Arabidopsis thaliana: one gene and its partner. The protein of the gene in region 1 interacts with the protein of each later gene in a pairwise test. Each region holds a gene or a part of one and is shown in the gene's direction. Other genes may lie near its edges.

What was found. The genes of interacting proteins can lie anywhere in the genome.
Region 2: the proteins of GLK2 (region 1) and CRF3 interact in a two-hybrid assay, tested with the Arabidopsis thaliana proteins (one large-scale study listed by BioGRID).

The regions. Positions count from the first base shown.
Region 1 is NC_003076.8:17,796,589-17,801,434, forward strand, and holds GLK2 (GOLDEN2-like 2), read left to right. Parts: upstream 1-1,692; 5' UTR 1,693-1,846; coding exon 1,847-2,293; intron 2,294-2,674; coding exon 2,675-2,815; intron 2,816-3,014; coding exon 3,015-3,350; intron 3,351-3,703; coding exon 3,704-3,793; coding exon of another isoform or gene 3,794-3,838; exon of another isoform or gene 3,839-3,912; coding exon 3,913-4,059; 3' UTR 4,060-4,338; downstream 4,339-4,846.
Region 2 is NC_003076.8:21,617,185-21,621,174, reverse strand, and holds CRF3 (cytokinin response factor 3), read left to right. Parts: upstream 1-1,893; 5' UTR 1,894-2,149; coding exon 2,150-3,214; 3' UTR 3,215-3,461; downstream 3,462-3,990.

The DNA.
Region 1 (4,846 bases):
GCTATTATTTTTAAAAATTAATAATGTATTTCGTTTTTAATTAATTAAATTAATTAAATTAGTATTTGACTTTTTAATCCTTAAAGAGATAAATTAATTTACTCTTTAAAATTTTATTTCTAATGGCATACCTATGTAATTACTTACAAAAATTAAGGTTACATTTAAAATGTACTTCCCAAATAATATAGTAGGATAAATTGTTTTATCTATGATTTATGAATATCCACATCAGTTCTGTAAAAAATAAAACTAAAAGAAAAACCAAGGAGAAAACAAATCGCCTTGTAAAAAACCGTTTTTGATAAATGTAACATTTAGGTTTTGTGTTAGTTAAGATCCGAAACAAGACAAATCTTATACACGCCATAATCCAGTATGTCGAAATCTACACCGTATTAATTATTGCTACTATGAACAACCATTCTATCCGATCATAGACTTTACTCTTATTTGTCGTTATTATCATAAAATGTCGTTTAAATAAATTATTTGTAGGATACCAATTCTTTAATTATATTAGTTCAAACACGTATAATTTTGGTGGTTTTTGAGGATGAATATCATCAAAGATAAATGCATTTTGGTGAAATAAATAATCAAATAATTATTTTAAATTATCTTTATGCACCACTATTTTTAATAAATTGGACTCTTACAACGTTTTCCTTAAAAAAAATCATGGATCTTAAAACTTATACCCAAACAAATATGTAGAAAATTATTATTATATATATAAATATATATATATATATATAAGCTATACAAAATCTTATTATATAGTAGTAGCGCTTGATTCTAAAATAGCATAATTAGACGAAAAAGCATGCATTTTGTAACATTTTATACTTTGTAAGTAAAACACATAAAAAATAATTTTATGAATAAGAAATCCACATAAAAAAAAAAAGAAGTAACATACTGTGAAAAATTAGGAAACTTTTTGAGGCACCAATTTTTTATGCCACTTTCAAAAAAGCATTAATGAAAATTTGTTTAAAATATCATTTTAAAATTTGACGTACAAAAGTACAAAACCTCATACAATTTCAAAACTTTACAAAGACTCAATAACATGTGTTATAGAGACTTTATAAACTTTCTTATAACATACTCTATAATTTTTTATATCCATATATTTGTGATATTTTTGAAAATGGATAAAATAAATTTGATATTTTTATAAATAGAAAATATTAATGGTATTTTTGAATTTTTCCCAAAATAATTATTAGTCTTATACTCCAAAATGTAAAAAAAAATCACTTTTTATTAAAAAAATACTTACGCATTTGCTTAATTGCTAGTCGTCAAAGTTTTGTCATTTTATGCAAATACTAAAAAAATGTAGAAAGCATTTCCTCTTTATTTTTGGGACAACCAAGAAAGGAGCATTTCAATAGTGTATACATAGACAAAAATATTTCTCATTTCCTATATTTGACTCTTTAAATCTTTAATAGCTCTTGTAATTTTTTCCATTCATTGTAATACAGCCATAATGTTTAAAAGGAAACTGTCAATTATAAACTTATACTAGAATATAAAATATGGTATTGAATTGAATATTTTCAAAAATAAAATATTAAATTTACGAAAAGAATAAAAAAACTTAAAAATCTCTCTCTCCTATCTCTCAACCACAACTTATTTTTCATGTCAGTATCCACCAACACATATATACGGCATATAAAAGATTTTAATAAAACCTTGGAACTATCTATATCTATTCAGACACACACGTCTATATATATATATACACTCATATACTACTTTCACTGTATCATTCTTGTTTTCTCTAAATTTTTCAAAAAACCTTTAGAATTTTCATTTTTTTACGATTCCGATGTTAACTGTTTCTCCGGCTCCAGTACTCATCGGAAACAACTCAAAGGATACTTACATGGCGGCAGATTTCGCAGATTTTACGACGGAAGACTTGCCGGACTTTACGACGGTCGGGGATTTTTCCGATGATCTTCTTGATGGAATCGATTACTACGACGATCTTTTCATTGGTTTCGATGGAGACGATGTTTTGCCGGATTTGGAGATAGATTCGGAGATTCTTGGGGAATATTCCGGTAGCGGAAGAGATGAGGAACAAGAAATGGAGGGTAACACTTCGACGGCATCGGAGACATCGGAGAGAGACGTTGGTGTGTGTAAGCAAGAGGGTGGTGGTGGTGGTGACGGTGGTTTTAGGGACAAAACGGTGCGTCGAGGCAAACGTAAAGGGAAGAAAAGTAAAGATTGTTTATCCGATGAGAACGATATTAAGAAAAAACCTAAGGTGTGTTTATTTCCCAATTATCCATGTTAGATTAGTTTATTTTTTTTCTTCTTTAAAGGTAAAAAATCCCATTAAGAAATCACCAACCTTTTTAAGGATTTCATTAAAAAAACATAAACTTCTAGTGTTTCTGAATATTTTTTTTACAAAGTTAGTGAATTAGTGTATTTATCATATACACAATTATTATTAAGTTTGATAACTGGAGTAGATCTAGGACCAAAACCAAGTTTTGTGTAGTAGGACTATACAAATTTGTGTGTTTATTTGGACTAAATATTTTTTTTTATAAAACTGTAAGACAATTTTCTATAAAAAAAATGAATTCCTTTTTTTTCTTTTCATTTATTGATTAATTAATATATTGTTCCGGCAAATCAGGTGGATTGGACGCCGGAGTTACACCGGAAATTTGTACAAGCGGTGGAGCAATTAGGGGTAGACAAGGCGGTGCCGTCTCGAATCTTGGAAATTATGAACGTTAAATCTCTCACTCGTCACAACGTTGCTAGCCATCTTCAGGTAAATTTTAGACTAAAACTATACAAACTAATTTTAACAGGAATTAATCAAGTGCTATAACCCCTAACATAGTAATTACCTAATTTATAGATTACATGTTTTTCCTTCAAAATTTTTTATGAAAAGACAAGTAAAATACTAACCAACTCAGATTTGTGTAATAAGATTAATTTGTGTTGTGTTCTTCTTGTAATGATAGAAATATAGGTCACATCGGAAACATCTACTAGCGCGTGAAGCAGAAGCTGCCAGCTGGAATCTCCGGAGACATGCCACGGTGGCAGTGCCCGGAGTAGGAGGAGGAGGGAAGAAGCCGTGGACAGCTCCTGCCTTAGGCTATCCTCCACACGTGGCACCAATGCATCATGGTCACTTCAGGCCTTTGCACGTATGGGGTCATCCTACGTGGCCAAAACACAAGCCTAATACTCCGGCGTCTGCTCATCGGACGTATCCAATGCCGGCCATTGCGGCGGCTCCGGCATCTTGGCCAGGTCATCCACCGTACTGGCATCAGCAACCACTCTATCCACAGGTAATAATAATTCATTTGTAAAAATGTTACATGTTTTTCCATTATTAGTTGTATGGTTAAATCATGAAAAATAATCGAAATGACATAACTAAATCAGCTTTGTTGAACAATCATGACACTGCAAAAAGCTAGTCTTTGTACACTATTGGCTTTTTAACACATGCAACATATATAAGTATAAAACGGAATCATTGAATTAGATTGTGGTTTTGTCTAACAACGCAATTAGTAAAAGATTGCAAGATCATGAATCATTTTTATGTAGACAACTAATAAAGATTTAGAGCTATGAATTATGTATGGATTTTACAAAAACATATTTCTAATCATGGTTTATGTGTATATATGTGTAGGGATATGGTATGGCATCATCGAATCATTCAAGCATCGGTGTTCCCACAAGACAATTAGGACCCACTAATCCTCCCATCGACATTCATCCCGTGAGTGCACCTTTTTTGGTTTCAATTTTGTTTATTAGATTTTGATTATGACATAACCCAAAAAAGTTTTCGAATAAATTTTGGATAATTAACAATATTTCATTACTTGACGGTTGCAGTCGAATGAGAGCATAGATGCAGCTATTGGGGACGTTATATCAAAGCCGTGGCTGCCGCTTCCTTTGGGACTGAAACCGCCGTCGGTTGACGGTGTTATGACGGAGTTACAACGTCAAGGAGTTTCTAATGTTCCTCCTCTTCCTTGAGAAAGATCTCCAAAATTTGTCGAAATCTCAAACTTTTAACTTCATTTTTTTGGTATCTTCTATGTATTTTTGCAAGGGAAAGACGATAAATCCTTGTTGCTTGATCATATGTATTTCTCTATATGAGTGCATGTATCGAAGTTAAGCAACTTTAATATATCGTTATAATCTTCGATAGCAGAATCTGTAATTTTTATTAACTTTCAACTCCCGAAGCATCATTGCAAAATGACTAAATGCAACACTTTTTGGGGTTAAAAATGCTTAACATTTTAAAACATTACTATCATTTATTCAATCAACAATTTATAGTTTTATACAATTGAAAACTAGACGGGATATATATCGCATGTGTTTTTTCAATGGCTTATTTTGTTTTATAATGCCAACTTTCACAGCTATGGATTGTGACTATTTATAATTTCAAAGAAGTCAAATATTTTTAAAACTCAATTAAAGTCCATAAAAAAATTTGCAATTGATAATGTTAACATATCGTGGCAAAAAAAAAAAAAAAGTACAACACATAATTGGAGTTTAGATATACGAATATTCTTTTAATTGGTTCCATGTAAAAAACTTAATTCAAACGGATTCGATTGGTGACACAAAATGGTAAAAACAAAAAAGCGGAAAAAGTTTTAAAAATACTAGAATAGTTGAAAGAAGTAAAAAAAATACAGGTACAAAAAATACAATAGTACAAAAAAATACTAGAATAGTTGTAGATATACTTTTGTGTTTAGTAAACTATTAAAGCATTAAATATTGTACCATGCGATAGAGA
Region 2 (3,990 bases), 3.8 Mb from region 1:
AACTCAAGATATATTTTTTCTTAAAAAAAAGCAAGCAAGTTAGTAATTAATAGAATAAATTTGGTAAAGCCTACTCAACTTTCGAAACCATAATATGAAAATCTTTAAATTTATTTTTGGATTTTAAACGGCTTTCAACAAATTGATCAAGATGAGTTCAAAGACAGTTTATCAAAACAGATTAGCTGCAAGAGATAGTCTTTTGCAGAATGCTTCATAAAGTTTGTAACGGATTAGCAGCAAGAGATAGTCTTTTGCAGATTGCTTCATAAAGTTTGTAACAGGTTGGTATGAAGATGTTATTATGTTCTAAATCATGCATCTATGTTAATTTAGACCAGTTTTGTTTTTGGCTTAACTGTCTTTAACTCTTTAATATATGTACATGCATAGAGTTTGTGTTTTGTGTTTAAGTTATATGTATGTAAACTAGCTTTTAATTTGACACATTTTCTCTATCAAATGTACATGGTTTATGTTTATTGAGCAACAAAAAGTCTTTTACATCTTCAAGTTATTTAAATGTTCCTATTTAATATATCAGAAATGTAACATCACATATTTCCGAGAAAAAAACGATTCTAAATTACACTATTTATGAACTAGAGAGAGTAAAATTTAAAATTAAAATGGCTACTTAATTAAAATACAATCATAATTTTTTTTATTTAAAAAGCAAGTATATCATATCTTGGTTTACAATAACATAATTTCAAATCTCATTGCCATCCAAACAGAAAAATAATTTTTTTACTAGTCCAAAAAATTAGGAACAGATGTAGTAAGCTTTGATATCCCTAAACCCAAGTAAAAACCCCAACAAAAAGATATTAGTAGAAGATTGTTTTTACAACAAATCAAAAATATAGTTTTCAAAAAAAAAAAAAAAAAAAGATACTTGAGAAGCGCGTGGAAAGTACGAATAGCAAGCAGTGGTGGAAGAGCGAGTGAGGGAACAAAGAGTACAGAAAAAAGCCTAGAGACGTACCACACCACCGAATTATAAATGGCGGCAAATCCTAGGTTGCTCGCCACGTTACTTCTAGCTGTAAAATGGTAACATTTCAATTTAACTACCATATTTATATTGATTCAAAGATATTTTCGTCCTAAAATCATTTTAATATCTAAAATTAAATACATAACTTCCTCAGTCACATATTCATCTTCCCTAAATTAACATTATTCGATTATCTAACATGGAAAAATGTATATTGTATAATACAACGTATTCAACTTTGACAAAATCGCATTTATTTTATTTCCCTAACAGTTAAAAAATCGCATTTATTTTATTACCCTCAACATTCGTACGTGACAAGTTGAAAAATTGCATTCAAATAGACGAAGTTACCCTCAACAATCATCATTAATTACTTAATGTCGGTCAAAGCTAGTGGAGTGATAAAAAATTTGTTGAGAAGTAGTAAGTAAATTTGTTTTTATTATTAGTATCAAATAAACTAAAAAGGTAAAAAAAAATTTAAAAAAACCGGGACCGGGTATCTTGGGGGTCACGTGACATGAATCGCGAAATTCGAGACTAGAAGCCACGCGCTGACTCAGCACATACAGGAAGGAGCCAAATATCTAATATCGCCACGTGTCACCATGCGACTTGCGCTCATGAATGCGGCGTCCCGTATTTTTAAACAACTCTCTTATACCCGAAACTACCCTTGGAGTTTTGTAGTTAATTACGGAAAAATGCCACTGATGGAGGAGCGGAAAGAAACAGCTTCGACAAGGAAAGAAATCAAATGATATTAAATATTATATATTATATAGTTTTCGAATTTATTGTTTACTTTTGTAAAAATGAATAAAATAATTATGGCTAAAACCCCGAAGAGATCCTATAAATTAGCATTTCAAGAGTGAGCTAGAGAAGGTCTCCACTTGCGAATCGCTAAAAAAAATCACTGTTTCATAACACGTTTTTCTCTCTCACCCACCAAAAAAAAATCTTTTGTTCTTGTTACCAAAAAATCTCGTGATAAATCTCTTCAAACTTTGTTTTATTTTCTTCTTGATTCTCTCGAAATCTCTCTCAACAAACCCAGAAACTTTCCTTGATTCGCAAGCTTTTCTTCCTTTTATATTCTTCATTTTGATGCGAATATAGAGAGAGTCCATAAAAGAAACAGTAATGGACGAATATATTGATTTCCGACCATTGAAGTACACAGAGCACAAGACTTCAATGACTAAATACACCAAAAAGTCATCGGAAAAACTTTCCGGTGGTAAGTCATTGAAAAAGGTTAGTATTTGTTATACTGATCCTGACGCAACAGATTCATCAAGTGACGAAGACGAAGAAGATTTCTTGTTTCCTCGCCGGAGAGTCAAAAGATTCGTTAACGAGATCACTGTTGAGCCTAGCTGTAACAACGTCGTCACCGGAGTTTCGATGAAAGATAGAAAGAGACTCTCTTCTTCCTCCGATGAAACTCAATCTCCGGCGTCGAGTCGTCAACGTCCTAATAACAAAGTTTCAGTCTCCGGTCAGATAAAGAAGTTCCGTGGTGTTAGACAACGGCCATGGGGGAAATGGGCGGCGGAGATTAGAGATCCGGAGCAACGTCGGAGGATTTGGCTCGGGACTTTTGAGACGGCGGAGGAAGCTGCCGTGGTTTATGATAACGCCGCTATAAGACTCCGTGGACCGGACGCTTTAACTAATTTCTCCATACCGCCTCAAGAAGAGGAAGAAGAAGAAGAACCGGAACCGGTTATTGAGGAGAAACCGGTTATTATGACGACGCCAACACCAACAACATCGAGTTCTGAATCAACTGAAGAAGATTTACAACATCTCTCATCTCCTACTTCGGTTCTCAATCACCGGTCAGAAGAGATTCAACAAGTACAACAACCGTTTAAATCAGCTAAACCCGAACCGGGGGTTTCAAATGCACCATGGTGGCATACCGGGTTTAATACCGGTTTAGGTGAATCAGACGATTCATTTCCTTTGGATACTCCGTTTCTTGACAACTATTTCAATGAATCACCACCAGAGATGTCAATATTTGACCAACCAATGGATCAAATTTTCTGTGAAAATGATGATATCTTCAATGATATGTTGTTCTTGGGTGGTGAAACTATGAACATTGAAGATGAGTTAACAAGTTCTAGTATCAAAGATATGGGTTCAACGTTTAGTGATTTTGATGATTCATTGATATCAGATCTATTAGTTGCTTAATATGATGATGAGAGTGAAGAAGAAACCATCAAGCAAATATCTATGGTGTGACTGAAAAATTTTGGTGTTACTTTTTTTTCTTTCATAAGTTCATGAGCTTTTTTGTTTCTTTTTTAATAATTTATTTAGTTTTGTCAGGAGCTTGTAAAACAGTTTTGGAGAAATAGTGGAAAAATAGTTTAATTATTCTGTATTCTTTATTTATTTAAGTAATTGCGTTATTAGTTGCACGAACGTGTTTAATTTTCAAAGCATTTGGCATTTATTTATTTTTTGTTAATTAATTATTTAATTTTAGAAAAGCCAAAGTGGCATTCTCTTTGTAAAGTCATACTATGAGGCGCAAATTACGGTCGTGGCCAGTGAACTGAGAGGTTTTGGCCTTTGGGTTTGGTCTGGTTGAGAAGAGGTGTTTTGTCTTGTAATAGTCATGTTAATCTTAAATTTTGTCAGTAATATAAACTTCAAAATAAAATGTAAATTAATTAATTGTACAGAACACAAAATTATATCATTTATTATTCCGAAAATTACTATCAAATCCTAAATTCGAACATTATCAGAAATTCATGTTTATGATGGAAATGTTTTGGAAAGAGTTCCAAACACATCACAAACTTTTTGTAACCATTTTCGAATATCATTCAAGAACTCTTTCTAAAGACAAGTGTGTGGCAATGTTCTAGAATTCGAACATGTTGGTGGTAGGTGTTTTTTTTAGATGGATTTTTGGGATCCATATGACATTTTATTCATGATGGTCGTTTTTGTAAGTG